Linked DNA regions of Macaca fascicularis. The protein of the gene in region 2 purifies or fractionates together with the protein of the main gene of each other region. This does not show direct contact. Links are inferred from orthologs where the notes say so. Each region holds a gene or a part of one and is shown on either strand. Other genes may lie near its edges. The genes, in order: PKN1 and KBTBD8.

Region 1 (4,463 bases), on a different chromosome or scaffold from region 2:
CCCAGAAATCGGAAATCAAGGCTGCAGTGACATAGGATCGCACCGCTGCACTCCAGCCTGGGTGACAGAGCAAGACTGTCTCCCCCAAAATAAATAAATATAAACAAGTAAATCAATCAGTAAGGACACAGATTCACACCCTGAGCTGCTGACCAGGACGCTTACCAGTAATGACTTCACAGCAGCCCCGCCTGCCAAGTGCTGGCCAGGTCTCGGTCTCTCTCTCCCATGAACACCCTCTTAGTCCCATTTTTCCTAGGTCAGAACCGAGGCTCAGAGAGGCGAAGGCACTGGGCCCAGGACACACAGCAAGGAAGTGTCAGCGTCGGAATTTAAGCCCAGGCTCACCAAATACCACCCTCACTCAGTCAGGCCCCACCCCATCCCCAGCAGGCAGAGGGAGGACACAGCCAAGAGCGGGGTCAGCTCAACTGGGGAAGTCCAGGCAGAGAGGAAAGGTGGCCTCCCTCGGCCCCACCTCCAGCAGCTGAGGTCTGTAATGCAGAGAGGGAGGGAGGCTGGGCTCCTGGGTTCTCCTCCCCTGAGTGACTCACTTCTTCCCAGGGCATACAGGTCACCTGAGGGCCACCAAGGCAAACCCAGGACTCAGGGGCCTGGCCTGGCCTATGGAGAACCCCTGCTCCTCTGCTGCCCACCATGGAGCGGAGACCTCAGACCCAGAGGACCTGCCTCCCAGAATCCCCATCTTGCCAGAGCAGCCAGGGACCTAGACCCCCACATCCGGAGATTTCAATGCCTTGGGCGTTTCCGGAATCTGGACAGGACATCCGTTTGCAGGACACAGAACAGACAGGCACACGTTGGGACAGATAGAGGGACAGGGCGGCAGGCCCAAGCAACCATGAGAGAGGGATGACCAGGAGGAGGGAAGAGACTAAGGAGGAGATGGGAAGGGGGGACCAGGGCGTGGGTCCAGCCTCACTGCAGGAATCACAGCCTGTCTGGGTCATGTGTGGGACGCGCCAAGCGCATGCATGCGCCCGGGGATTCCTACACAGCCCTCCCTGGGCCGGGGGTGGAGGCAGGGACCCCGGCCCATCCCGGCCCTGAGGTCTGACCTTGTGTGATCGGCAACACCAGATACGCCCAGCTCCTCGGCAAGGCCGGCAGGCCATCAGCAGGACTGGGGAGGTGGGAGGGACCGGGGGTTACGGGGGAGACACAGAGGGGCAGGGGGCAGGTGCAGAAGGAGACGAGAACCCAGTTACACAACAGCCACAGGACGATGAACTGGATGGTGAGGTGCAAATGGGGGCACCGAGGCACAGACATTTCTCAGATTTGGGTCACTTGAACCAAAGAAGGTTGGCAGTCACGCTGGCCCTGCTTGTCACAGACGGGGAAGATGAGTCCAGGTCAGTGATACCAACCAGGTGGCACGGGGGAATCTGGCTGGGCAGAAGGCTGGTGCCAGTCACGTGTGTGTGTTAGGAGGGTGGGGGTGACCCAGCCCTGCCCAGCCACCATGCAAAAAAGTAGGATTCTATATATGGGAGCATCCCTGGCCTGTTGACTGAGGCACTCCCCACCCGGGAGAAGGTTCCACCTGACAGTCCAAGAGTAGGAGCGGGGGTCCCCAGTCCCCCGACCTAATGCAGTGACTCGGGTACTTCCGCCAACAGGTGCCAATCTGGGTGGCGTCTGGAACACTATAAAGCTGTCTAGAGGCGGGGGTGGCTGGAGCTTTGTTATGCGGGGGAAGGGCACGGGCCGGGCCCGGCGGCCTCCTCCCCTCCCACGGCACTGCGCCAGGCACCTGCCCCAGGTGGAGCGGCACCTGCCGGGCACCCAACCCTGGGGAGGGGGATGAGTTTGGGGGCGGACGAGAGGCACCGGGACTCCCAGCCAGCCACAGACACCCGAAGTAGAGCCTCCGCCGCGCCCCTTCTAGTTCTCTGGGAGAGGCCGAGTTTGGGGGTGCAGCGGGGGGTGCCTCCGAGATTGCCCCCAAACCAGCCCCGTCCACATCGCCACCTGCCGAGAAGGGGGCCTCGCTGGCTCCACAGTCCCGGCCCAGGGAGGGGGCGCCGGGCGCTCCGGAGGTCCCCGCCCTAGCCATCGCCACCCGAGTCCCGTTCGGGGGGCTGGGGGGCTCCCCCGGGAGCGCGAGGGCGGGGTCCCCTGGAGCCGTCCGGTCGCCCCGGGACTCCAGACGCAGGTGCGCCTACCTGCAAGGCGTCGCTGGCCATGTCCTCCTGCCGCCCGCCAGGGGTCCCCGCGCGGAGGGAGGGGCGGCCAGAGGAGCGCGCGTGCGCCCCGGGCGTGGCGGGGAGGGGGCGGGCGCGGCGCGACCCTCCCCGGCCCGCGGCCCGCTCCGGCCTGCTAGGCTCCCGCCTCGCCTGCCCAGGCCGCCGCGTCCCCGCGCCGCGCCCTCCAGCCCCAGCGGCCGCCGGGCCCGGTCACGTGACCCCGGAGGTCGGCGCCCGGGGAGGGGGCGGGGCCGAGGGGGAGGGGCTCCCAGAGGCCCCCGGGGCTGCGGGGTCCCGCCCGCCCGCCCCCTCAGTCTCCCGAGCTCGGAGCACCCCGATCGGCTCCCCACCTTTCCTCTTTCCGGGTCCTGCGACGACCGCACGCTGCCGAGAGGTCCCCCATTGGAGCGCGCGGGAACCCGAGGAGAACGGTTCCCCGCGTTCAAGCCGAGAGCGGCGGAGGCCTTTGGGCCTCCCAGAACCCCTGAAAAAAAAAAAATAACCCCCCCACCCCACCCCATCCCTGTGCATTTGCAAGCTCGGGACGCCTGCATCTGTGGTCCCCTATTCAAGGGCATGGAAGTTTCCCCGTTACCTGGAGACAAGCTCTGGGCAGATCTGCATTCAAATGCCAGCGCTTTACGCCTTGGGGAAGCCAAATCCTTCCAGGCACCTCATCTGTGAAATGGGAATGATGCGCTCACCTCCTAGGTGTTGGTAAAATTCAATGAGACAGTGCAGGCCAAGAGCTGAGAACACTCTAGACGCTCCATAAGTGTTAGCTGCTGTCACTTTTAATGTTATCGTAATTGTTTGTTGTTTTGCTGTTTTTGGACGGAGTTTCGCTCTATTGCCCATCCTGGAGTGCAGTGGTGCGATCTCGGCTCACTGCAACCTCTGCCCCCCGGGTTCAAGCGATTCTTCTGCCTCAGCCTCCTGAGTAGCTAGGATTACAGATGCCCGCCATCATGCCCGGCTAATTTTTATATTTTTAGTAGAGATGAGGTTTCATCATGTTGGCCAGGCTGGTCTCAAACTCCTGATCAGGTGATCCGCCCGCCTCGGTCTCCTAAAGTGCTGGGATTACACAGGCTTGAGCCACTGCGCCTGACCTCTATTATCGTTATTGTTATTAAAAGAGGTTTGAATCCCAACTCGCTGTTCATCCTGGGAACCCCTGTGGCCTCTGAGTCTCAGTTTTCCACACAATAAAATGGGCACCGCCTTCTTTTTCGGGGCTGCTGCATGCAGATGGCGCTCCATAAATGCAGACTCGTGCCCATGCGGAGAGTGGAGGCCTCTGAGGAATTTCTAGGGGATCTCCGGGGTCTGCAGAGCGTGCAGCTTTGTTTACGGCTGCCGTCGGACCCTCACTCCTTCGGAAACCAGGCGAGGGAGCCAAACCTTGGTCTCCGGGGCTCCGGCGGGGAGCGCTCCCTGGCGGCGGTGTCTGCACATTGGCGCCCTTTGGGACCCGAGGAAGCGCCGTGGGCTGTGGGTACCTTAGCTACGCGTGGCTCTGCGTGGTTTCAGTCGTCCCGGAAACCAGGGCGCGATGTTTTCTCTCTTATTTTTTCATCTGAGCAACTCTTTGGGGGATATTAACAACAGAAAGAGAGAAGGAGGAGAATATTCTGATCTAGAATCCATCCAGCCAGGCATGGTAGCGCATGCCTGTAGTCCCAGCTACCAGGAGGCTGAGGCAGGAGGATCGCTTGAGCTCAAGAGGCCGAGAATGCATCACTGTGGGGAGCAATCATGATGCCCCTGCACTCCAGCCTGGGTGACAGAGCGAGACCTTGTCTAAAAAAAAGAAAGAAAAAAAAATGTCTGGGTGCAGTGGCTCACCCCTATAATCCCAGCCCTTTAGGAGGCCAAGGTGGTGGTGGGTGGATCACTGGAGGTCAGGAGTTCGAGACCAGCCTGGCCAATATGGTGAAACCCGTCTCTACTAAAAAATATAAAATTAGCTGAGTGTGGTGGCGTGTGCCTGTAATCCCAGCTACTTGGGAGGCTGAGGCAGGAGAATGGCATGAACCCAGTAGGCGGAGGTTGCAGTTAGACAAGATTGCACCACTGCATTACCCCCTGGGTGACAGAGCAAGACTTTGTCAGAAAGGCAGGAAGGAAAGAAGGGAGGGAGGGAGGGAGGGGAAGGGAAGAAAAGAAAAGAGAAAAGAAAAGAACTCTGTGGGCTGGGCGCGGTGGCTCACGCCTGTAATCCCAGCACTTTGGGAGGCCCAGATGGGCGGA
Region 2 (3,811 bases):
GCCTTATTATTGCAAAAGTTATGAAACTTAATTACAAAGAGTTTGGAAGTATAGTCTTTAAGTTTCACCTTCACTGCTGTTTATGTTGCCTTTCATAATACATTTTCAATTGTTTTCACCGGAAAACTTTGAGATGTCACTTTTTTTTGGTTTGCCATTTTAATAGGACTGTCTGATATATGTAGTGTTTTTTGTTTGTTTGTTTTTTTAACTGTTAAGGACTACTTTGACAAAAATACAGTAGAGGTAGAGTGACTGAGTCAGAGTAAATAAGACATTTGATTCAAGGCTCTGATTTGTGATAACTAGTATTTTCCTTTTATTTGGTTTCTTACATATTTTAGTTGCTTGAATGTTTAATGCAGTGTAGATAATAGCAACATCCTTATTCTTCATATGTGTCCTTCAATTGATGTTTTTCTCACACTACTACTTAAGGAAAAGGAGCAGCTTCTATGAAGATATACAGTCATGTGCCATGTAATGTTTTGGTCTGTGATGGATCACATACACAATGGTGGTCCTATAAGATTATGATAGCATAATTTTACTGTACTTGTTCCATGTTTAGATACGTTTAGATACAAAAAACGCTTCCCATTGTGTTATAGTTGCCTAGAGTACTCAGTACAGTCACATGCTGTACAGTTTTGTAGCCTAGGAGCAATAGGCTACAGTGTAGCCTAGGTGTGTGGTAAGCTCCCATCTAGGTTTGTGTAAGTATGCTCTATGAAGTTCTTTGCACAAGGACAAGTATCACTTAACCATGCATTTCTCAGAATATGTCCCTGTCATTAATTGATGCATGACTGCCCTTATCCCATTGTTTTCTTTCTTTCTTCTTTCCCCTTCCCCTTCCCTTCTTTTCTTTCATTTATTTCTTTCTGTTTTGTTTTGAGACAGGGTCTCACTCTGACACCCAGGCTGGTGTGCAGTGGCATGATCTTGGCTGACTGCAACTTCCGCCTCCTGGGTTCACATGATTCTCCCACCTCAGTCTCAGGCACCCGCCACCATGCCTGGCTAATTTTTGAGTTTTTGGTAGAGACGGGGTTTCACTATGTTGACCAGGCTGGTCTTGAACTCCTGACCTCCAGTGATCCACCCACCTTGGCCTCCCACCATTGTTTTCTTTTAAAAATTGTGTTCCTTGCTCTAATCCTTTATTTAACTAAAAACTTCCTAGTAATGTCCGAGCCCATTTGTTTAAGTTCAGTGTCAAGTTAATTCCTCAGAAGGAGTTGTAGTCTCTGGTTCATTATTTTAGTTAAATAGAAGCACCGGGCATGATTTGGGTTTGCTGTCTTGCAGAAAAATGGAATATAGGAATGGATGTATAATCTGTCCAGTATAGTTGGATAGGTTATGTCATCCAGTATGATGAAGCTGTGTATGTGTGTATTTTGGTCTTACTGCCTAACTGTTAGTTGATAGAGGTAGAATTAGATTCCTATTTGGAATGTAAAGGTTGTATATTAATGCAAATACTAAAGCAAACTAGCAATGAATTAATAGAATTTCAGGGCTGGAATTATTAACATCATTTAATTTGAGGTTATATTTTACATAAGAGGATTCTGAAGCCCTAAGGGTTTCTTAATTGCATATTATTAGCTTTAACTTATTAAAGAGTACTTTAGATTTTAAAATTCAACTTCTTTGGTTTGTCGTCTTTACTTTCTTATCTATAAGAAATTTATAGAGAAGTAGCACACATTACAAAGTTTAAATTTCCTACCTTCTTTATCAAGAATCCTGTTACAAGTTAGGCAATAAGGGCAGATGATGTGCAAGCAAATCTGGGAGCTTAACAAGCTATTTTAAGTCAGTTGAAGGCAAAGCATCACTGTTATGAAGTAGGTAGTCGAATCTGTAGATAAGAGTAACCCTAGTTCAAAACAGTTTTCAAGGGGAAGCTCAATTTAGAATCTGGTATTTCTAATCTAAACAAAGCCTCTTTACATAAATAAACCTGACATGCATAGTCAGAAGCTTATGTTGTACTATCTGTGGCTATTGAAGTATCATTTAATCTGTTCATAAAGGGTTCAGATTTTTATTACAAAGATTTTATACAGATGCTATAATTAGCAAAACTCTTGTAAATCTTCACTACTTTAATTCTTTCAGACATTTTCATATTGGCAGTCTGACTCAGCATACCTTTTTATTGTCAAATCAAAATAGAAACTGACTCAGAGTCAACATCACAAACCATGTATGTGTTTTCTATCTTATTAAAGGCATGTTTTCTCCTGCTGAATATTTGTCTTTGCATTATAGCAACATTCAGGTAAGCACATCAGTGACCCATAAGCATAAATCTGTATAATTCCATCTGCTGTCTTCTAATGAAATAGCATATACATTTATCATGGCATATTTATGGTGATGTTGTATGTATGCATTTTGGTCTTACCGGCTGAACACTACTAATAATGCTTTTTTAGAGTTAGAGTGAAATGAGTTTTCTATAAACACACAAATTGGATAGAGCAAATAGAATAATTTTTTTTTTTTTTTTTTTGAGCTGGAGTCTCACATTGTTACCCAGCCTGGAGTGCAGTGGCGTGATCTTGGCTCACTGCATCCTTCACCTCCCAGGTTCAAGCGATTCTCCTGCCTTAGCCTCTTGAGTAGCTGGAATTACAGGTGCCTGCCACCGCACCTGGCTAATTTTTGTATTTTTAATGAAGGTGGGGTTTCATCATGTTGGCCAGGCTGGTCTCTGAACTCCTCACCTCAAGTGATTCACCTGTCTGAGCCTCCCAAAGTGCTGGGATTACAGGCATGAGCCATGGTGCCCAGCCAGAATCAAGCTCTTAACAATTCTATGATCAAACCCAAGTAACTCCTTATACCTTCCCAATACAAACCTCCCAATTCAGGTTGATTATAATATTATCGGTTATATTGTGTCATGGAATGACAAAGTTTTAAGGTATTTCGTAACCCATATGAATGTATCTCCAGAGATTATAAAGAAAATGTTTTAGAAAGTGAAATATATAGAAAATTATGCCCTTTAATCTTTAGAGGTTGTAGTTACAACATATAACCAAAAACCAAACATAAAAATATACATATTCTTGTTTTCTTTTTTTAGGAGAATTTTTCCTCTTCTATGAGCCTCAAAAAGACTACTGGGGTTTCCTGACCCCCATGACTGTGCCTAGAATCCAGGGCTTAGCAGCTGTATACAAGGACTCTATCTACTACATAGCTGGAACCTGTGGAAATCATCAACGTATGTTTACTGTAGAAGCCTATGATATTGAGCTAAATAAATGGACTCGTAAGAAAGACTTTCCATGTGATCAGTCCATAAATCCATACCTTAAACTGGTACTTTTCCAGAACAAACTCCATTTATTTGTTCGAGCTACTCAAGTGACTGTCGAAGAACACGTCTTCAGAACCAGCAGAAAAAATTCCCTTTACCAGTATGATGACATTGCTGACCAGTGGATGAAAGTGTATGAGACCCCAGATCGGCTCTGGGACCTTGGCCGGCATTTTGAATGTGCTGTTGCTAAACTGTATCCTCAGTGTCTTCAGAAAGTACTCTAAATGAGTAGCAGGCCTTAGTGCATCACTGGCATCTCATTCTTAGGAAACTTGTCTTTGATACAAAAGAGTGCTGACAGTATTTCAGAAAGCTGAGAGTTTTATATGTGGAAAATGGGTATGCTTAAAGATCGCAGGGTAGCGAGGGATTTTCCTTCATCCTTGTGACATTTCATTTCAGTAAGGAAAAGACAACGAAGTGCAATTATCAGCATTTTTTTTCCTGGCATAAAATCAATCATTT

Evidence for each region.
Region 1: the proteins of KBTBD8 (region 2) and PKN1 purify together in Homo sapiens (affinity purification with western blotting; 3 studies listed by BioGRID and IntAct, with this or other methods). This does not show direct contact. The link is inferred for Macaca fascicularis from reciprocal best matches to the Homo sapiens genes KBTBD8 and PKN1.

Annotation. Positions count from the first base shown.
Region 1 is NC_088393.1:14,864,148-14,868,610, reverse strand, and holds the start of PKN1 (serine/threonine-protein kinase N1), read right to left. Parts: upstream 2,891-4,463; 5' UTR 2,789-2,890; coding exon 2,561-2,788; intron 2,410-2,560; exon of another isoform or gene 2,211-2,409; coding exon of another isoform or gene 2,190-2,210; intron 1,996-2,189; exon of another isoform or gene 166-1,995; intron 1-165. UniProt on the Homo sapiens protein: PKC-related serine/threonine-protein kinase involved in various processes such as regulation of the intermediate filaments of the actin cytoskeleton, cell migration, tumor cell invasion and transcription regulation.
Region 2 is NC_088376.1:130,078,595-130,082,405, forward strand, and holds part of KBTBD8 (kelch repeat and BTB domain-containing protein 8), read left to right. Parts: intron 1-3,106; coding exon 3,107-3,570; 3' UTR 3,571-3,811. UniProt on the Homo sapiens protein: Substrate-specific adapter of a BCR (BTB-CUL3-RBX1) E3 ubiquitin ligase complex that acts as a regulator of neural crest specification.